Sus scrofa: one gene and its partner. The protein of the gene in region 1 purifies or fractionates together with the protein of each later gene. This does not show direct contact. Links are inferred from orthologs where the notes say so. Each region holds a gene or a part of one and is shown on either strand. Other genes may lie near its edges. The genes, in order: KIF5B and KLC4.

Evidence for each region.
Region 2: the proteins of KIF5B (region 1) and KLC4 purify together in Homo sapiens (affinity purification with mass spectrometry; 4 studies listed by BioGRID and IntAct, with this or other methods). This does not show direct contact. The link is inferred for Sus scrofa from reciprocal best matches to the Homo sapiens genes KIF5B and KLC4.

What each region holds. Positions count from the first base shown.
Region 1 is NC_010452.4:42,636,712-42,648,283, reverse strand, and holds the end of KIF5B (kinesin-1 heavy chain), read left to right. Parts: intron 1-901; coding exon 902-962; intron 963-1,073; coding exon 1,074-1,145; intron 1,146-1,318; coding exon 1,319-1,423; intron 1,424-3,055; coding exon 3,056-3,272; intron 3,273-3,771; coding exon 3,772-3,902; 3' UTR 3,903-3,921; intron 3,922-8,711; 3' UTR 8,712-11,179; downstream 11,180-11,572. UniProt on the Homo sapiens protein: Microtubule-dependent motor required for normal distribution of mitochondria and lysosomes. Can induce formation of neurite-like membrane protrusions in non-neuronal cells in a ZFYVE27-dependent manner.
Region 2 is NC_010449.5:38,126,355-38,136,604, forward strand, and holds the end of KLC4 (kinesin light chain 4), read left to right. Parts: coding exon 1-74; intron 75-897; coding exon 898-1,108; intron 1,109-1,535; coding exon 1,536-1,623; intron 1,624-2,917; coding exon 2,918-3,019; intron 3,020-3,255; coding exon 3,256-3,429; intron 3,430-4,008; coding exon 4,009-4,108; intron 4,109-4,307; coding exon 4,308-4,360; exon of another isoform or gene 4,361-4,576; coding exon 4,577-4,647; intron 4,648-4,827; coding exon 4,828-4,936; exon of another isoform or gene 4,937-5,536; coding exon 5,537-5,677; intron 5,678-5,964; coding exon 5,965-6,080; intron 6,081-6,471; coding exon 6,472-6,535; intron 6,536-7,709; coding exon 7,710-7,760; 3' UTR 7,761-8,176; downstream 8,177-10,250. Other genes in the region: PTK7 (inactive tyrosine-protein kinase 7), read left to right, coding at 9,523-9,601.

The DNA of each region.
Region 1 (11,572 bases):
GGATCTACTGAATCTCAGCTATAATTTTGTTTAGAATAATGTTAACATTTAAAATACATAAAATGGGGGCTTTCTGCTGTGACTCAGTGGTAATAAAGCCAGCTGCTATCCGTGGGGATGCTGGTTTGATCCCTGGCCTCACTCAGTGTGTTAAGTATCCATCATTGCCCCGTGAGCTATGGTACAGGTTGCAGACTTGGCTTTGATCCTTTGTGGCTCTGGCTGTGGCATAGGCCGGCAGCTGCAGCTCCTCTTTGACTCGTAGCCTGGGCACTTCTGTATGCCATATGTATAGCCCTAAAAAGAAACAACAAAAAAACACAAAATTTTTTTTAGTCTTCAATAATTTATTATCTCTGCAATTCTCAGTTTAATTGGAGTTATTTTGGATAAACATTAGTGTGCTATATGGTAATGCCTGTTGTAAAATATAAAAAGAACCGCTCAGTATCACTTGAATTCTGCCACATTTTATTTCATCACTTCTACTGCTATAATGGGAGGGTTATTTTCTAATAAGACATATAGATTTAGAAGATGATAAGGCATGTGGAAATTTCTTTGAAAAACATAACATCAGTAAACTTTTTTAAAAATAAGATCTTTCATTTGAATTTAAAAATTGATCCTGGAGTTCCCACTGTGGTACAGTGGGATCAGCAACATCAGGAACGCCCAGCCTGGCACTGTGGTTTAAGGGTTGTCTGTAGTTGCTGCAGCTGCAGCTTAGGTCAAAACTGCACTTTAGATCCCTGGCCCAGGAACTCCATATGCCATGGGACCTCAAAAGGGGGGGGGGATTTATTCTTTCAGATAAAAATATTTGATTCAGATGTTTGTGCTAAATCTAGAGTTTAGAGACTCGAAGTTGAAAACATTTATATGTTCTTCCACTCTTTAGGGTTATGCAAGATAGACGAGAACAAGCAAGACAAGACTTGAAGGGTTTGGAAGAGACAGTGGTAAGAAAAACTTGGAAGTAAATAGGATTTGAGGATATTTAATGGGCTCTTCCCATTGGTTATACTAAATTTGAAGACTGACTTCCAAAAATACTGCTTTCTTAATTCAAGGCAAAGGAACTTCAGACTTTACACAACCTACGGAAGCTCTTTGTTCAAGACCTGGCCACCAGGGTTAAAAAGGTAATAAAGTAATACTGGGGTGGGTAATTATAAAATACACACCTTACTGTGTCTAATTCTTGTATTTGTAGTGAAATCACCTTATATTATTGTAACAGTTTTGGGATAGTTAAACTTAGGTTTTTTATTTGATCTAATACTATTTTTTCATAGCACTTATTGATCTTTTCTAGAGTGCCGAAATCGATTCTGATGACACTGGAGGTAGTGCTGCTCAAAAGCAAAAAATCTCCTTTCTTGAAAATAATCTTGAGCAACTCACTAAAGTGCACAAACAGGTAATAAAGAGTATATTTTGTGTTCAATACAAACCGAGGAGTGGCAGGTATTTGAATCCAAGGATTTTCATACCATGAGCCATTCCATTATTTTATCACACAATTATATAAATACGCCACTAGCAGTTTCTGGGGGAGTTTTGGTTATTTGTTTGTTGTTTTGGTTTGGTTTTTATGGCCACACCCACAGCATATGGAAGTTCTCAGACCAGGGATCGAATCCAAGGTACAGCTGAGACCTACACCACAGTTGTAGCAATGCCAGATCCTTTAACCCACTGCTTTTGCTAGGCCAGACCTGTACAGCCACAAAGATAGCAGTGGATCCTTAAAAGGCTGTACCATAGCAGAAACTCTGGGGAATTTTTGAATAGCTTTTTTTTTTTTTTTTTCCTTAAGTTTTATTAATTAATTGTCTTTTTAGGGCTGCACCTACAACATGTGGAAGTTCCCAGGCTAGGATGTGAATCAGAGTCATAGCTCCTGGCCTACACCACAGCCATGGCAACTCGCCAGATCCAAGCCAGGTCTGCTACCTACGCTATGGCTTGCTTCAATGCCAGATCCTTAACCCACTGAGCAAGGCCAGGAATTGAACCCAAGTCCTCATGGATACTAGTTGGGTTCGCTACCACTGAGTCACAGCGGAACTCCTGAACACAGCGGAACACAGCTTTTTATTAAGAGGCCAATGAAAACAGATGTTTTAATTTTTATGTAGGGTTTCCAATCTGTCAGTTTTCTTAGTATGATAATTTTTAAATCTGTAGTAGACAAGTCTTTGCAGTTAAATGCTTCTCTTTTTTTGTATTTATACATTTAATGCCCCAGAGTGTGAAATATATAAAATAATGATGCAGTTCTTATTCTTTAAAAAGTAATCCTGGAGTTCCTGTCTTAGCTCAGGGGAAACAAATCTGACCAGGAACCATGAGTTTGTGGGTTCAGTCCCTGGCCTTACTCGGGGGTTCAGGATCTGGCGTTGCCATGAGTTGTGGTATAGGTAGCAGATGTGGCTTGGATCTGGTGTTGCTGTGGCTGTGGTGTAGGCCTGCAGCTGCAGCTCCAATTCAGCCCCTACCCCAGAAACTTTCATATGCCACTGGTGTGGCCTTAAAAAAGGAAGAAAAATATAATGCTTACTGTGGGTTTTTTATCTTTTATAAAAGTTTGATATATGATTTAATTAGCTTTTAAGTTTCTTGGCATGCTTAATTGTATCTTTGTTATTATAAATCTTATGTTTGCACCAGAGTAAGGTTAAAGGAGTTTAAGCCTTCCCTGCTTTCAGCACTTAAGGGACTTGCTAAGTTAATGTTTACTTGTGGATCTTACTCTATCTAAAAGGATAATTACTTCCACAATATGAATATCTTAATGAAGAGACCTTAACCCTATGTTATAACATAATTTCAGTACTTAATAATGGGGAAGAATAGTCTCCTAAACCTTCCAAAATTGAATGAAATTATATTTTAGGGAGAAGCATATGTGTGTGTGTGTGGTATTTATGGATACATGTATTCTTTGCTTGTTGCAGTGTTACTTTTTTTCAAGAGAAATTATGGAATGTTCATATTTTTTCAAATCATCTTTAAAGCTACAATCCTTATTTTTTCTATATACCTTTAGTTGGTACGTGATAATGCAGATCTTCGCTGTGAGCTTCCTAAGTTGGAAAAGCGACTCAGAGCTACAGCTGAGAGGGTGAAAGCTTTGGAGTCTGCACTGAAAGAAGCCAAAGAAAATGCATCTCGTGATCGCAAACGCTATCAGCAGGAAGTAGATCGTATAAAGGAAGCAGTCAGATCAAAGAATATGGCCAGAAGAGGACATTCTGCACAAATTGGTTAGTAAAGCACAATAAATAACCTTGCTTTGGTTTGAATGTTTCTCTTTGCTTGAGAATGTACTCTGATTTATTTGTTATGTGCTGCCACAGTGGTATTTGTGTTTTTTAATTTGCCAAAAAGTAACATTGTTGGGAATGAAGAGCAAACTGAGGAAGTCACCTCAAAAGGACAAGAAGAGAGATCAGAACAGCACAGCCAAGTGAGACTGGTCACAGATAGAAGAAACCATGTAGAGCAAAGTTACTCAAGCAAAGAGAGACTTGGAAGAAAATGTCATCCATAGTATTTCATACTTTAATTGTTAATCATTGATAAAGGAATAAGGATTTTCAGAAACTAAGGATTGGATAGGTCCTAGAGGAAAGGATATAACTGAGAAATAGAAAGGCAAAGAGAAAGGGGGGGCAGTTGTTTGCGAAGAAAGAGAAGAGACCTACAGAGTCATTGCAGTCGCATGTTATTTATTCTAAAGTCAGTTTTTGTTTTTCACACCAGCTAAACCTATTCGTCCTGGGCAACATCCCGCAGCTTCTCCGACTCATCCAAGTGCAATTCGTGGAGGAGGTGCATTTGTTCAGAACAGCCAGCCAGTGGCAGTACGAGGCGGGGGAGGCAAGCAGGTGTAATCTTCACAGGGCACCACAGGTTGGTGGTCTCTGGATTTTTTAATCACACCTGTCCATGGAGAGGTTCATTGGCAGTTAAACACCCTTTCGGATTCTCACTTTAGTATCATGGTTTCTTTTTAATGTGTGGGATTATAAGTAACTTTAGTTTTGTCCTGGTTCATGTCATACTATATGTATATTCAAATTTGTGTTCTTACTGTTTTTAGCCTATTGTTAGATCATTTGTTTAAGTTCTTGGTATTGTCTAATGGATATACTATGATTTATAACTACTGCCTTGTTTTATTTTGTTTCATTTTTGGCTGTGCCTACAGCATGCAGAAGTTCCCAGGCCAGGGATTGACCCACACTGCAATGCTGATAGTGCTAGATCCTTAACCCTCTGAGCCATCAGGTAACTCCCTTGTTCCTTTGTGGTTCTTTGTTTTGAACTATTGCCTTTTACTAGACTTTTAATTATGTTAATTTTCCCATACTTGAAATAGTCCAAAATTGAAATTTCCATATATGGGAGTTCCCTTGTGGTGCAGTGGGTTAAGGATTCAGCGTTGTCATTGCTGTGTTGCAGGTTCAGTCCCTGGTTCAGGAACTTTCTCATGCTGCAGGTGTAGCCAGAAAAAAGTTTCATGTTTTCCATATAGTCATTGCAAAGTCACAGTGAAACATCTTTTTATACATCCTCAACTTTGCGATTATCTCCAGATAATTCCCATAAGTGGGATTAGGAGAAAGTGAAACTTTTTTTTTTTTTTTTTTTGGTCTTTTGAGGGCCAAATCGATAGCATATGAAAGTTCCCAGGCTAGGGGTCAAATTGGAGCTGTAGCTGCTGACCTACACCACAGCCACAGCAATGTGGAATCCAAGCCAAGTCTGCAACCAACGCCACAGCTCACAGCAGTGCTGGATCCTTAACCCACTGAGTGAGGCCAGGGATCAAACCTGCATCTCCATGGATATTGATTGGGTTCGTTACCATTGAGCCATGATGGGAACTCCCGAAAGTGAACATTGTTAAGGCTCTTGACACTAACCCTCTTCAGAAGACTGCACCAAATTGCATCTTAGCCAGTGACACTGTCCTTTTTGTTGTATCTTTGCCAGTATTAAGTATTAATAGTTTTTAAGTTCCTATTTTAATAGGCCAACTATCTCATTAATTTATTAACGAATTTGGATATTTTCATGTTTATTGGCCCATTTATATACTTATATTTTTAATGAATTATTTCTGTGTCCTTTCCCATTTACCTCTGTGAGTGGTTTTTATAATTTATGAGTTCTTACTTGTTTCTTTCTAAATGCAAGTAATATTTTTACCATGTAGGGGGATAAAGAATTACCGCAAAGTAAAGTAGGAGATAAATATTATCCAGAGATACCACCCAGTATGTTGTATATATTTTCCTGGGGCTGTCTTCACATATTATAACTTTTAAATTAGAAAGCTTAAACTGTCAGTTAATATTATATTACCAAGATACTATGCTATTCTATAAATATTCTATAAAATACTACTTCGTAGCCTACTTTTTTAACTTGGCCATGTGACTGATTATAGCTGCCTGCTATTTTACTGTATGGTAGGAACTCAGATTTAATCCTTTGGGAAGCCTCAGGTGTGTAGATGGTTTGGAAACTAAAAATATTAGATAACTTTGAGATAGTTAATTGTTTTTATTTTTGACAGATACTAAAGTCATTTTATTTTAATCTTCTTTGTTTTTTACTTTGACATTTTGCATAACATTGGCTGTCAATTTGAGTAGAAAATTAAGCGATATTCTGGATTTAAAAGAGAATGATATAGTGAAAAAAGTATTGATATTGGAGTCCCGTCTGTTTGAATTTACTCTTATGAACTTGAGCAGGTTACTTTTTCAGTTAATTTCTTTCTTATTTTGACCCTTAAGCATAGGGAGTTCCCTGGCCGCCCAGCAGTTAAGGGTCGTCATTATCACTACTATGACTTGGGTTACTGCTGTGGTGTGGGTTTTGTCCTGGCCCAGGAACTTTCACATGCCAGGGCCGTGACCAAAAAAATAAAATAAAATTCTTAAGCATAAAATCAAATTACAGATTAAGTTTTTTAAAGCTGGTAGAGTTCCCATCATGGCTCAGCAGGAACAAATCTGGGACTAGCATCCATGAGAGTGTGGGTTCAATCCCTGACCTCCCTCAGTGTCTTGAAGATCCGGCAATGCTATGAGCTTTGGTGTAGGTTGCAGGTGCCGCTCAGGTCTGACGTTGCTGTAGCTGTGACATAGGCTGGCAGCTACGGCTCTCTTTGGACCCCTAGCCTGGGAACCTCCCTCTGCCATGGGTGTGACCCTAAAAAGACCAAAAAAAAAAAAAAATCATTTTTTGGGTTCTCGTAAACATTGTTATAAGACTGTATTGTAGGTAATAGGTGCTTTATTATTGTCTCTCATCAGAAGATGTTACAGTAACTTTCCTGCCAATTAGGAGAGTGCTTCTGTTTTTTCCCTCTTTGGATTGGTAACTTGTTGAGCTCCCCTTATTACTAAAATCAAAGTCATTCTTGAGAGTTATACAGTTAAGATGTCATTAACTAGTAAAGAGTGGGTGCCAAGTAGATGCAAGCTGCCTTTTCTGGAAGTGGAGGTGGGCAAAGGCATTTTCAAAGCATAAATATAAATACAGGTAAAAGTTTATCTTTTTTGGATCTTGTCCTCGCGTTACAGTTCACATGTGAACTTTAACCTCTTACCTCATTTGAGAGAGAATGGTCCATCACCTTTGTTAAATACAGCTAGGTTTTAGCTGGAAAGTAGAATGTAATGACAGCAGTTTAGCACATGAGGGAGATAGTTAACCTAGCTAGACCAGGTTGTCGAGACTTGAAGTGACTGAAAGAGTATAATCAGGGAGTTTCTGGTGGCCTAGCGGGTTAAGGGCCCAGTGTTGTCACTTCTGTGGCACAGGTTTGACCCCTGGCCTGGAAATTTTCATGTGCTGCCAGCACAGCCAAAAAAAAAAAAAAAAGGTATAGTCAAGTTCAGGTTTGTTTCATTGCTGTCCATAGGATAGTGGTTGTTATTTTTTTTTAAGGTCTTGCATCAGTCTTAAGCCATGATTGAGAAGTATATCATCTACATAAGTGATACATTATTGAAGAAGTAAATACTTTGTAGAGGTATTTTAAATTACTTTTTAATTATTAAGAAAAACATGGGGAGTTCCCGTCGTGGCGCAGTGGTTAACGAATCTGACTAGGAACCATGAGGTTGCGGGTTTGGTCCCTGCCCTTGCTCAGTGGGTTAACAATCCGGCATTGCCGTGAGCTGTGGTGTAGGTTGCAGATGCGGCTCTGGCGTAGGCCAGCAGCTACAGCTCCGATTCGACTCCTAGCCTGGGAACCTCCATATGCCACAGGAGCGGCCCAAGAAATAGCAAAAAGACAAAAAAAAGAAAGAAAAACAGGGGAGTTCCCGTTGTGGCACAGCAGAAAGAAACCCCACTAGGAACCATGAGACTGTGGTTCGATCCCTGGCCTCACTCAGTGGGTTAAGGATCTGGTGTTGCCATGAGCTGTGTGTAGGTTGCAGACTCGGCTTGGATCCCACATTGCTGTGGCTGTGGTGTAGGCTGGTGGCTACAGCTGCAATTCGACTCCTGGCCTGGGAACCTCCATATGCCATGGAAGCGGCCCCTTTAAAAAGACCAAAAAAAAAAAAGAAAAAGAAAAGCGTTTTAAAGCACTGGGTTTATTCAAGGAAAAGATGGCAATGTATTCATGATACCGATACTGCCTGGTTTGGGGAGGCTGGTTCTGCCAGCTTCCATCATGCTTTGGGCAAGTGAAGGTTTTCTAAACACATAGGTAAATAGGCAGTTGAGTGAGCACAAGGTAACAGCTGCTGGGATTGTTATTTCACTGTCACTTTCCCAACCTCTTGCTTATCCCTACCCGACCCCCTTTTGTTTTTTACAGCTACCTTCTTTGTGGTTTTTTTTCTTTCTCTTAGAGTCGCACCCATGGCATATGGGAGACTCCCAGGCTAGGGGTCAAATTTGAGCTGTAGCTGCCAGCCAAAATCACAGCAACGATAGATCTAGCCACAGCTCGCAGCAGCACAATATCCTTAAGCCACTGATCGAGGCCAGGGATCAAACCCACATTCTCATGGATATTAGTTGGGTTTGTAACTTACTGAGCCACAACGGGAACTCCTACAGCTACCTTGTATATGGCATTGCTGGTTTGGTGTTCCTTAGCTTAACGTTGCTCACACTGTCTACTGGCTGCCATTTTATTGACCATCTTTTTCTTTTTTAAAAAAAAAAAAAACATGTAATTCGGAGTTCCTGTTGTGGCTCAGTGGTAACAAACTTGACTAGTATCCATGAGGATGTGGGTTCGATCCCTGACCTTGCTCATTGTGTTAAGGGCATGTTGTTGCTGTGAGCTGTGGTGTAGGCCTACAGCTGCAGATGCGATTCGGTCCTTAGCCTAGGAACTTCCATATGCCCCAGGTGCAGCCCTAAAAAAGAAAAAAAAACATATAATTCAAACATCTGCTCATTCCTAGTTCTTGGGGAGATAAATACAAGACTGGCCTCCTTTTTATGTTACTCTGTCCCTGAACAGCTCTACTTAAAAGGCAAATGAAAAGAAAATCATTTAATTTTGCCATCTTTTCAGTTTGGGGGAAAATATTCAAAGCTGTTGGCTAAATGTTTTTAAACTATTTGGTATGTTTTATTTCATTTTTTTCATAGTTATCTCAGAGACAAGTTTTGTATAAGTAAAAATATTTTCTCTCTATGCTTTCTTCCATCTTCAGGTGTTGAAAGTAATTGAAGTATGAAGAGAACATAATATCAAGCAGTCATTCAATGACCATAGCCTCTGTCCCTTGGAAACTATAGAATTAGAATTTCTTTTTAGTGTATAAATTGTACCTGGCCTGTACATTTGTTTCCTACCCACTCTTGTAAACTCTGCTGCTTCCCAACACAACTAGAGTGCAATTTTGGCGTCTTAGGAGGGAAAAACGACAGTTTACAACTGTGGCCCTATTTATTACACAGTCTGTCTTTCATGTCTTAAATTTAGTCTTCACTGTGCCAAGCTAACTGTACCATATAGGACTCTGCTTTTTGTACTTGTTCTATTGTGTTTTTATTTTTAAATCTCACTTTAGGTTACCTAGCTGCTACTGCTTCTTATTTCTCTTTTCTTATTAAAATAATATCCTCCTTATTTTAGGGAAAATGGAACACTTAGATTAAATGTCTTAAATTTTACCACTTACAACACTACATGCCCACAAATTATATCAGATCAGTACTGTACTTTAAAATCCCTTGAAATGACTTCGGAGTTAAAATTATCTGTATCATCTCTGAAGTTCGCTTCTGAAAACTACTCCTTGAGCACTGAAACCTTAAAACTGCCTAACTAGACATTTGAAACTAAGCAAGGCAACTTAATTATCTCATGAAATGCCTGTTGCTGAATTATCTTGAATAGAACTACATTACAATATCAAAAGCAAATATTTTGCTTTTGTTTAAGAAAGAGTCTGGAAAAGAAATTTCTCTTCCCAGTGCTGCAGTAGTGCACATAGCTTGATGGAATGAAAACACCCTGCTTCATTCTGGTGAGCCTGCTAATTAATATAAGAATTGGACAGATATGAATTTGTCATCTTAATATAGTGAAATGAACTAAGATATTATAGGAGTAAACAATTTTATATTATTAGTACTGTATTGGTTTATGTAAATTTATAGCCTATGGAAACTGAGGAAAAAATGTGGAAGGACAGGATAAATACCAGATGAATTTATAAATATGTAGGTAAATTTGGTCCGAAATCCCTGAGGTTTTTTTAACTTGCTACATTAAGTCGTACAGTATAACTTATTTCTTCTTTAGTCTAGAAATAATCATTTGCAAGTCACTAATAATCCTCAAATGAATTATTTTGTTGGCAGCAGCTGATAATTTTGTAATTAAGTGTACCTGTTTTTGCCACTTCTTCCTCAGATGATTAAAAGTCAACAGTTTATTTTAGAAGCTACAAAAGTAATAAAGGAAGAGATTTCAATATTTGCTTCATCAGTGGGAGGGGACTAACTGCAACTATGTTATCAGAAATTTGCGGAGCATGGGGATTTAAGGTTACTCAGCAGAGAAAGTTGGAAAGTTTTGCGTTAGGATCTGGGTGGCAAAATTAACTTTTTGAAAAAGTTTTATATACAGATATTTGTATTAAATTTGGAGCCATAGTCAGAAGACTCAGATCATAATTGGCTTATTTTTCTATTTCCTTAACTATTGTAATTTCCACTTTTATAATAATTTTGATTTAAAAGATAAATTTATTTATTTTTTTAACAGTCAAAAATTCTTGATGTTAATGGTCTGCAACCTTTAAAATGATTGTATTGTTTTTAGGATTGATCAAAAGAAGCACTCCAAAAATTGAGACGAAACCTCGTTGTGCAGCAAGATTGAAGTAGTGCAGTTAACAAAAAAAAAAAAGTGCTACTGCCTATTTGTGACAATAGTTTTCTAAATGGATAAATATTTGGCTGTATTCACATAGACGTTTACATTTCATTTTCAAATGAAAGCTTGCTTTTTTGGCAATATTCTTAAGTGAGGCAGAAATTCTTTTCTCTTTGAACATGGTAGTTTCATTCTTGTAAGATCTGTCACGGGTATTGGTGCTGTGTAACAAACAGTTGTAACTAGCATGCGGTTCAGAAACACAATGTTAGGGTTTTTTAAGTATCTCAGTGGTTCTTTCCTATTTAATTTCAGACTTCCACAAAATGTACAGAGAATTTCATGAATTTGTTTTCATTGAACTGCTTTTGCTATGTCATTAAACACAGCATTTGCTCTCATAAATGAAAATTTCTGCTCATCTGAAACATCGACACTTATTTCAATTTGCAGTGTCTTTTTTTTTTTTTGACTGAATATATTAATGTTCCTCTGAATGGTATTGATAAAATGGTTCAGAAGAGAAACTCAATGAAATAGAAGTAATATTTATTCAAGGTGATCAATTAAATTATTTGCCTAATTTAAAAAAAACTACTGTGCATAACTCAGTTTGACAGGAGGTGATAGAAGAGAATCTGAGTCCACCTGTGGAATATGTTGGTTTCTTTTCAGTGCTTGAAGATATGTTCAGAGATGATTGGTTTGGGAAGGCGCCACATAATTTTAAGTTAACCTGCATGCTGTAAATGTGTTTTATGTTTAAATAAAGAGGAAAATTTTTTTGAAATGTAATGACTTTCTTAAAACTTACTCAGTGAAATATCAGGTTGATTTTATATGACCAGGTGGCCTTTCTTGACGGAACAGTAACTCATATGTCATTATATTCATGTATATTTTGTTTCCTAACGTATTGTGTGTGCTTTGGACATCAGGTATTACATACGTAGGCTGAAGGATTAAGAGCTAGAGATGAATCCTCAGTCTCACGTTGTTTTAGTCTACATGGTTCCGTTTATCTGAGCCCAGTGCTTCCTCAGTGGTCATTCAGGTCTAGCTGTAGAAAACCAAAGACAGACTCTTTCTCAGTTCTGGTGCTGATTGGTTTTTAGTGTGTGTAGGAGTCAGCAGAGTAGTTAAGGACAATCCCAGCACCTGTCCCTCAGTTTCCACACTTACCCACTT
Region 2 (10,250 bases), on another chromosome or scaffold:
GGAAGGCGATGCCTCCAAGGATTCCCTGGATGACCTCTTCCGAAATGAAGAGGAAGAGGACCCCAGCAATGGCTGTGAGTTGGCCTCCGGAGTTGGAGGGTGAAGAGGGGGCAGCGGGAGGCTGGGCCCCCGCTGTGGTCCACCCTGAACACAGGATGCTCATCACCCAGGAATAGGTTCTCCCCTTCCTCTGGAGGTGGGCCAGGGACCAGGACTTTGATTTCCTCAGCCCCCCTTCCCTTATTCATCAACATTTATTAAGCACTTAGCCGGTGTCAGGCCCTGTGCTAGGTCCTAAGGAGACCAGGTCTCACCAGTGAGGGGTTCACAGTTGAGTGGGAGAATGAGCCTGAGGTGGAAGAGCATGAGTGCCTCAAGGGGAAGGACCAGGTCTTTCTTATTTTTGTATCCCTGCCACAGCCCCTGCCTCTTGCACATTGAGTAAACATTTGTTGAATGAAGGAATGACCGGGTGAACAAACGGGACTCTGAGGGGCACAGGGGCAACAGAGGGGGCAGGAGATTAGCTGTTGAGCCTGGAGGTGAGAGATGGGCACAGGTACTGAAGGAGATGTGGCAGAGCTCCCGGTGTGGCTCAGCAGAAATGAACCTGACTAGTATCCATGAGGATGCAGGTTCGATCCCTGGCCTCGCTCAGTGGGTTAAAGGATCTGGCATTGCCATGAGCTGTGGTGTAGGTCACAGATGCAGCTGGAATCCTGCGTTGCTGAGGCTGTAGCATAGGCTGGCAGCTGCAGCTCTAATTCCGCCCATGGCCTAGGACCCTCCATATGCTGCAGGTGTGGCCTGAAAAAAAAGCTATGGAGTTGGGGTGGAAAGGGCAGGCAGCAGAGGGAGAGGCAGCATCATCTGAGGAAGTCTTCTGCCATGGTGTAGTGGCCCGTGGCCAGGGCGCCCAGCATAACGGCTATGAGATCCCAGCGAGGCTGCGGACACTGCACAATCTGGTGATACAGTATGCCGCCCAGGGCCGCTATGAGGTAGCCGTGCCACTCTGCAAGCAGGCACTGGAGGACCTGGAACGCACGTCCGGCCGAGGCCACCCCGACGTGGCCACCATGCTCAACATCCTGGCTTTGGTGTATCGGTGAGTACGGCCTGCCTCCTGGCATGAACCTGCCTCCGTGTTCCCGCCTCTATCCGCCTTTGGCTCCCGCTCCTCCCTTCCGCAGGGTACCGCTTCCCCCTCGCAGGTGTACCCTGCCAGCGGGCTTTCTCCAGTACCAGAACTCATTCATATCTGAGCACTTGACCTTAGAGCAGACTCATCCCTCAGGCCTTTTGCTTCTCCAGTCTCTTCTCTGGGGAGGGTTTTCTGTTTCTGACTCTTGCAGCCTGTGACTGTGCCCTCCTCTCGGTGTGTCCTGGGTGTGTCAGTGAACCCGTCTCACTGTTCTTTCCAGGCTTCCTGTTTCCTCGTGGGGGGTCCCAATCCCTAAAGATACCCCAAATGTAGGGAGATGGCTTGGGGACAGAGTGGGATGTAACCCCTTGTCACTTTTGTCCTCTCACAGGGACCAGAATAAGTATAAGGAAGCTGCCCATCTGCTGAATGATGCCCTCAGCATTCGAGAGAGCACCCTGGGTCGGGACCACCCTGCTGTCAGTATTCCTTCCTCTCCTTCCCCTGTGTTCTCTTTTTTTTTTTGTCTTTTTACGGCTGCAACCATGGCGTATGGTGGTTCCCAGGCTAGGGGTCCAATCAGAGCTGTAGCCACCTGCCTATACCAGAGCCACAGCAATGCCAGATCCGAGCTGCATCTGTGAACTTCACCACAGCTCATGGCAACACCAGATCCTTAACCCACCGAGGAAGGTCAGGGATCGAACCCAAAACCCCATGGTTCCTAGTCAGATGCATTTCCACTGTACCCGGACGGGAACTCCGTGTCTTTTTTTTTAGGGCTGCACTACAGGATATGGAAGTTCCCAGGCTAGGGGGTCGAACTGGAGCTATAGCTGCCAGCCTACATCACAGTAACAGCAACAGTGGATCCGAGCTGAATCTGCTACCTACACCACAGCTTATGGCAACGCCAGATCCTTAACCCACTGAGAGAGGCCAGGGATCATGGTTCCTAGTTGGATTTGTTTCCACTGCACCACGACAGGAACTCCCCCTATGTTTTCTTAGTTTGTCCATCCATTGCCCTCAGCCCTGGGTTTTCTGAGGAAGGAGGCATGAAGACCCCTTTCTCCCAACACTGTCTGCTGATGCTAGTGGTTTTCAACTCTCTGAGACCCAGTGATTGCTTCTAATGATGTATATTTTCCTAATGCTTAACTCATAGAGAATGTAACTTACTTACACCTACACTTTCCCAAAAAAGTTGAATGATACTTTATTATTAGAAAAGAGAAATAAGAAAAGTAACTTATGGAGTTCCCATCGTGACTCAGTGGGATAAGGATCCAGCATTGTCACTGATGTGGCTTGGGTTGCTGCTGTGGCACGGATTCACTCCCTGGCCCATGAACTTCTGTGTGCCATGGGTGCGACTGAAAACAAACAAACAAACAACAACTCCTGTCTTGATGTCCTATCAAATGTCAAAGCTTATATTCAGTGCTTAGATGTCTGGCAGGACATTCCAAAGTTGCTCGAGGGGGCCCACACAGGCAGAACATTCGTAGCATCCTCGTCTCCCCGAAGGTAACAGGGTCCTTAGTCTTCCTGGCAAACAAGAAACAAAAACCCTGCCTCCAGAAGTACCTAAGTATCTTCCCAGAAGGCGATACCACCCTCATGGAGAACCTCAGAGCCTAGGGGTTCAGCCCTTGCCCCTCCCCGGCCTCTGGCGGAGTCCACTTGTCTTGGAGTTGTGCAGCGTGGGGCCCTGCCGTTCAAGGTCTTTTGCAGCACCAGCATCTGATGGGGACGGGCTTGTCTTGCTAGGTGGCCGCCACACTCAACAATCTGGCTGTGCTCTATGGTAAGAGAGGCAAATACAAGGAGGCAGAGCCACTGTGCCAGCGGGCCCTGGAGATTCGAGAAAAGGTACCCGTGCCCTCTGCCCATTCTTCCCTGTTGCGGAGAGCCCTCTTGTATCATCTCTCTTCCAGTCTACCCTCTTGCCTCACTTCCTTTGGCCTCATCCCTGTGTCTGCCTTGTTCTCTGTTTCATCATTCCCTTCCCCCTGCTCCCTGCCTGGGCATGCGCACACACGCCCGCACCCGCACACACACCCACACGCACAGTCATAGTCATCTGTCCCTCCTTTGCACCCCTTCAGGTCCTGGGCACTGACCACCCAGATGTGGCAAAGCAACTGAACAACCTGGCCCTGTTGTGCCAAAACCAGGGCAAGTATGAGGCCGTGGAACGCTATTACCGGCGGGCACTGGCCATCTATGAGGGGCAGCTGGGGCCTGACAACCCTAACGTAGCCCGGACCAAGAACAACCTGGTAAGGGAGGGAGGGGCAGAGGCCATGGGCAGAGGGGAGGGGAAAGCGTCTAAGTCCCTGTGCTCACCTCCTCGTCTTTGTGCCCAGCTCTGGGGCTGCCTTTGGGGCTGAGAGGTCTGCTTCCTTCCTGTGGGAAGGCAGAAATTCCATAGCCTCTTGGAATTGGCGTGGGAACACTGTGGACCCTGCAGCTAGAAAAGGAGATATGAGGAGCATCTCTGGGGAAAGTCATCAAGAAGGGGCAGTCGCAGGAGTTCCTGTTGTGGCTCAGCAGCTTAAAAATCCTGCTGATATCCTTGAGGAATGGTTTGATCCCTGGCCTCACTCAGTGGGTTAAGGATCCTGTGTTGCTGTGAACTGTGGTGTAGGTCGAAGACGTAGCTCAGGCTCGGATGTGGCATTGCCATGGCTCTGGTGTAGACCAGCAGCTGTAGCTCTGATTGGACCCCTGCCTGGGAACCTCCATATGCCGTGGGTGCAGCCCTAAAAGAAAAAGAAAAAAAAAAAAAGAAGAAGACGGGGAAATCCCAGACTTTATCTCCACCTCTTGCTCCTGTGTTTTTGCCTTCCTGCCCCCAGGCTTCCTGTTACCTGAAACAGGGCAAATATGCTGAGGCTGAGACGCTCTATAAAGAGATCCTGACCCGTGCCCACTTGCAGGAGTTTGGCTCTGTGGATGGTGCGTGGTGAGGACCTGGGCAGGGAGCTGCAGGGAGGAAAGGAAATGCAGACCAGGGCTTGGGAGGTGGGCCACAGTGGTTCCCAGGGGGAGCTGGGCCCCTTTAGTCCAGGCCTGTTGGCCTCTGGGTCCTGGCTCCCCCCATACTATCCAGTTCTGTCCTCTAACCTTGCCACTCCATCCCGTGTGTCACCCCCAGACAACCACAAGCCCATCTGGATGCATGCAGAGGAGCGGGAGGCAATGAGCAAAGTGAGTTGGGGGGGCCCAACCTGGGGAGCCAGAGGCTACCAGGCCTCTGTCTTGCTCCTGCACCAGCCTGCCAGCTCCTCACTTCCCACCCGAGGGCCAGCCCCAGACCCACGGTGCCTTCCCCAGCCCAGCCTGCACCAAGCCCAGCACCAGCTTGCACCCCAGCATCTCCATCCTCTCATCTCTGGCTTCCCCTCCCCCTCTGTCCTCCTGCAGAGCCCACACCGGGAGGGCGGCACACCCTACGCTGAGTATGGAGGCTGGTACAAGGCCTGCAAAGTGAGCAGGTAAGCTGCCGGTGAGAAGCAGGCTTGGCCTCTGATGCTGCCACCCATGCTGGCATCTCAGCCTCCTGGACCATCCCCTTCTTCTGTTTGACCTTCCCTGGGCCTCAGCTCCGCTCCCTCTCTCTCCTGCTTGTGTTCTGAACCCATCCTCTCTCCCTTCCCTGGTCTCATCTGCCACAGCCCCACCGTGAACACGACTCTGAGGAACCTCGGAGCTCTGTACAGGTGCCAAGGAAAGCTGGAAGCAGCTGAGACCCTGGAGGAGTGTGCCCTGCGCTCCTGGAAGCAGGTCAGAGACCTGGAGGGAAAGGAGGTCTGGAAGGGAGGGCCTGGGGACAGGACAGGATGGGGGACCACTGAGGCTGCTTGTCAGTCTCCAAGGAGTAAGGGGGGGCAGCTGAGGAGGAAGGTTGGAGAGGAAGCTGAGACCCGCTTGTGGTCGTGGTTGTTTTGAAGCGTACTCTTACTTCCCACCTGCCCTTTGTGGTCAGGACTCGAAGTTCAAGGTTCACTTCACTAACTGGAACTATCAGCAGAGAAACCCTGTCCTTTCACAGCGTGAAGCATCTTCTGGGGAGCAGCGTGGGGTGGTATGGGTGGGAGGGCTGCGACTGTGGGGAGCCCCGAAGCAGAGTTTCTTCAGTTGTGGGTCTTGACTCACTAGTGGGTCTAAAATCAGTCCCGCGAGAGCCATGGCTAAGCCTAGGTGTGTATCTAGATGTGGAATGCACTGCAAATAGAAAAGGTGAGTGTCTCCTTCCCAGTATGTGTGTACTGGGAGGTCACAGGAAAAACCTTATCTTTGACCCTAGTGGTGAGAAAAAGTTTGAAAACCCCATCCTGAGGAGCTCAGAAATGAGACGTCCCAGCTTCTTCCTTTTCTTTCCAGGGCACTGACCCGATCAGCCAGACCAAGGTGGCTGAGCTGCTTGGGGAGGGTGACAGTGGAAGGACCTCCCAGGAGGGCTTTGGGGGCAGCGTGAAATTCGAGGGAGGTGAAGATGCCTCAGTGGCTGTGGAGTGGTCAGGGGTAAGTTGGATGGGGACCCCTTGATCTCTTCTGCCCCTCCTGCTGGTGGTGGTGACAGGCACTGAGCCTGTAGGATGTGTGCATGAGGGCCTGTTGTCCCCATCCCAGCTCCGGTGGCCCATCCCTCTCCGGGGTCTCTCTGCAAGCCAGCTGTTGACCGGGCTCTTGTTTTCAGTCGCTGGGCTTTTGGGGGCAGGGGGAGGTGGCAGCGTAAATGGCAGGAGTACACTCAGAAGCCAGGCTGCCTGGGGTCCCCTTAGCTTCTGTCCCCTACCCCTCTCTGCCAGGATGGCAGCGGGGCCCTGCAGAGGAGCGGCTCTCTGGGCAAGATCCGAGATGTTCTCCGTAGAAGCAGTGAGCTCCTGGTGAGGAAGCTCCAGGGGACCGAGCCCCGGCCCTCCAGGTAGGCAGTGAGCCTGAGATACGGCAGAGCAGGCGGCTGAGCCCTGGCCTCCAACTCTAACTCCTCCTGGCCTCTCATCTCTGGAGAAGAAGCGTCTTGGAGAGAAACATGGAGGAGGTCAATGGGACAGTTGTGGAGAGAGTGTGGGGAGAATGGGTGCCTCAGTTGGGGGAAAACAATACCTGAGCAGATGCTGATTACTGATGAAGTTGGGTTTTGTGTGAGTGTGTGTGTGTGTGTGTGTGTGTGTGTGTGTGTGTGTGTGTGTGTTGGGAGGATGGATGGTGGGAAGGCAGTGATCTGACTTCCTGTGGTGGTGCCCAAGAAGCCACGGCTTAAGGGTTACCCATGGGAAAGAGAAGAAGCTTCAGTTCTTTCTTTTCCATTGTAGCAGCAACATGAAGCGGGCAGCCTCCTTGAACTATCTGAACCAACCCAATGCAACGCCCCTCCAGGTGAGAGCAGTGCTTGTGGGCACAGTGGTAGGTGAGAAAGAAAGGACAAGCCAGGGAGTCCCCATCAGCAGAAATGAATCTGACTAGCATCCACGAGGACGCAGGCTTGATCCCTGGCCTCCCTCCGTGGGCTAAGGATCCGGTGTTGCCGTGAGCTGTGGTGTAGCTCTCAGATGCAGCTCGGATCTGGCCTTGCTGTGGCTGTGGTGTAGGCCATCAGCTACAGCTCTAATTCAACCCCTAGCCTGGAAATTTCCATAGGCCAAGGGTGCAGCCCCCCACAAAAAAGGACAAGCCAGGAAAAGGGGAGAGTTACTGGGATGAAGACTCTGCCAGGGACTTGGAGTTGGGCAGACAGCTTGTTGGGGGTGGTGATCACCAAGGGACAGTTTGGGGCCAGAGATAGTAGCACATAAATTAATCAGGAGGAAAGCAGGAATTGATGTTCTCTAAATGGGTACTTTGGAATTATGAATTATTCAAGAATGATTTGGGGATACTAATTGCTCTCTCCTTACAGCCACCACATTCCTCACCTTGGGGAGTCTGTAGGAGCTGAGAAGAGAAAAAGAAAAAAAAAGTATTAACTCATCTCCTTTTGAGAAAACAGCAATGACATTTTAATGGGAAAGGACCACTTGTAGCAACACATTCAAAGCATATGCCAGGAGTTCCTGTTCCCGCTGTGGTGCAACAGAAACGAACCCTGGTATCCATGAGGATGTGGGTTTGATCCCTGGCCTCGCTCAGTGGGTTAAGGATCCGGTATTGCCGTGAGCTGTGGTATAGTTCGCTGATGGGGCTCGGATCCTGCGTTGCTGTGGCTGTGGCTGTGGTGTAGGCCAGCAGCTGCAGCTCTGATTGGACCCCTAGCCTAGGAACCTATATATGCCGAAGGTACAGCCCTAAAAAGGGCAAAAAAAAAAAAAAAAAAAAAAAAATTTGAAGTATATGCTGATATTCACATGGTTCTTCCAGGTATTTTCTCCACCAGATGGTGGCCTTCTGGGAAGTCCTAACAAGGGGTCAACAAAGCCCCAGAGCTTGGGGTTGAGGTTAGAGGTTCCATCCTAGGTCCAGAGAGAAGCTGCAGCCATGAGATGGAGAGACTCCAGGGGCCAGTCTTTGGCAGGCTGAGATCCCTGAGCTGATGGCATGGGGTTGTCTGTTTCAGGTCTCCCGAGGCCTCAGTGCCAGCAGTACGAATCTCTCTTCAAGCAGCTGACATTCAAGCTCCCCTGCCTTCCCTGGGACCGGTGGGTCCCCAGCAGCCCTCACAGCATTCCCTGTGGCTCCTGGCTCTTCCAACCCTACAGTGGGACAGTGAAGGGGGAGCAGTTAACCAGAAGATGCCCTCAGGGTCTCAGCTCCCTCCTCAGGAATCCCCCTCAGGAACCAACCTCAGGACACCCTCTCCCCACCCTGTGGTCCTCTAGAGTGGCTCCATCTACTACTAGGGCCCCCAAAGTGGGTAAAGAGCAGGTGTGCACCTCAGAGATGCAGCCTGTGGCTGGCTTTTCTGACAGAAGGTTTGGGACTGGCCAGCTGACCTGTCTTGCCCTGGCCTCTCTTTTTCCCTCCAATGCTTCACTTCAGGTCCGTGTATTTCACTTTTCTTAAATAAAGGAATCAGGTAACCAACCATTCAGCCACTGGAGTCCTCACTGAAGAGGGTAGGAAGCAAGGGTTGTGTTGGGGCCCTTCACAGAAGGGTGAGGGCAGTGATGGATGGGGCAGCAGGAGGAATGTTCGCCTCTTGGCTCCCTCCTCTCTTCCTTCCCCGTTTGTATCCTCTCCAGCAGGGCCTGCGGGAAGGCGTCTGGGGGGTGGGGGGAGGCCCACATCCCAAGGAGAAGGTGCTGTGGACCCGGTTGTCAGGGACATGTGGTGGCCATGTGGCAGGACCCTGGAGTCCTGGCGCCACTGCTCCTGGCCTGTGAGGCCCTCTGTGGCTGCCCCTCCTCCTCCCAGCTGCTTGGGGGAAGGGAGGTCTAAGCAGGCCTGGGGGGCCCTCCGGAGCCAGAGGGGGACGAGGCACTTACTATCCATCCTCTCTCAGCAGAGCCTGGAGGCCCAGCAGCAGCTGGGGCCCATCTTCTAAAGCTTGACTCCTCCTGACCCGCCTCCTACACCCCTTGCTGCTTTCACAACAAAGGAAGAATGTGGGGGTGGTGGCGCTGGGGGTGGGGGTGCCTGGAACAAGGGCTGTTCTGGGCCTCCCCACAGCTGGAGACTTGGCCATGCCCTGACACAGCCCAGCCTGCCTGGAGATGGACTTGGGATGAATTTGTCAGTTTAAAAGCCTTCAGTCAGCCATTCAAAGAACACCTAGTCTCTCTCTACCTTTGGGTTCAGATTGGTCCAGAGCCAAACCAGACCCCTCATTTCTCCAGGCTACACTTCTCCTGGGGCCCCACCAGTATCTCCAAGTTACCTTGCTGGGGGAACCCTTCTGTTCTAGGTCTCCCTCCTGATTTGTGAGCCCAAGCCCACCCTTCCCCTCCTAGCCGGAGAATTTGGGGGAACTGTTGGTCAGGGAAGCCCAGAATCGACGATCTTCCCTAGGAGGGACGGAATCACAAAAGTCACTTTAGGTCCCTTGAGTCCCTGCAGACTAGGTGTTAGGCACTGCCTCCACCCCCCTACCTGGCTCAGGTCCTCCACACCCCCGGGCCTCCTTCCCCGGGTTCCCCATCCCTCTCCAGACCCCTCCCCCAACTGCGAGCTCCTCCCCGCCGCGGCGGGGAGGGGGCGTCGCGGGGCGGGGCTTGGCGGCAGCTGCGGCGGCGGCGGCGGCGGCGGCGCGCGAGGACTCGGAGGTACCGGGCGCGCGCGGCTCCGGCTCGGGACGCCTCGGGTTCGGGCTCCGGCTGCGGCAGCTGCAGCGGCGCCCGAGCTCCTGTGCGCTCGGCCTCCTGGGCCCGCCGGGGAGCGCCGACCGCTAGCCCGCCGTGCGCCCGCCCTCTCCCTCCCCCGGGCCCGCCGCGATGGGAGCCGCGCGCGGAGCCCTGAGCAGCCCCCGCCGGCTGCCTCTGCTCAGCGTTCTGCTGCTGCCGCTGCTGGGCGGTGAGTCCCGGCGAGCTGAGGGAGCGCGGGAGCCCCGCGCGCCAGAGGGGGCAACCGGGAGGTGGGCTTGGGCGGCTGGAGCGGGGGAGACAGCAGGGCGTGGGGCAGGGGCTTGCTGGTGGGGCGAGATCCCGGCGGCCGGGAGGCGGCGAAGCCCTCGCACGCTCGGCCGGGGCCCCTCTTGCCTCGCGCCCACGAGGACGCGTTTCCAGCCTCCCCGGAGTTTTCCCGGCCTGAGCCGAGAGTTTTGCTCGGTAACTGCGGGGAGTTGCCGGTTCCCCGGCCCCGGTAGGAGTTTCCTTGCGGGAGAGAGCGACTACCCCCCTCTTAGGGGGTGCAGCGCGGTAGCTGGCGGTGGGGGAGACGGAATCCCCGCGGCAGGCTCAGCCTAGGTGAGGGAGGCCGGCCTGGGGCCGGATGCCGGACCGACCTTCGGCGCGCGGGGCGCGGAGCTTTGTTACCTACGCCCGCCCGATGCTCCCTGCTTCCCTCCTCCAAGTTCTTGGGCCAGGCTGGGACCCCGACGGTTCTGCTGGTGAGGGCGGGAGAAGGGAAGAGTTAGGGGCCACCCTATCTCCTCCAGCTCCTGGGGCCCGAGCCCTGAACCCACTCCCTGCCAGGGTCGGATCTGGGGAGCTGAGAGTCCCAG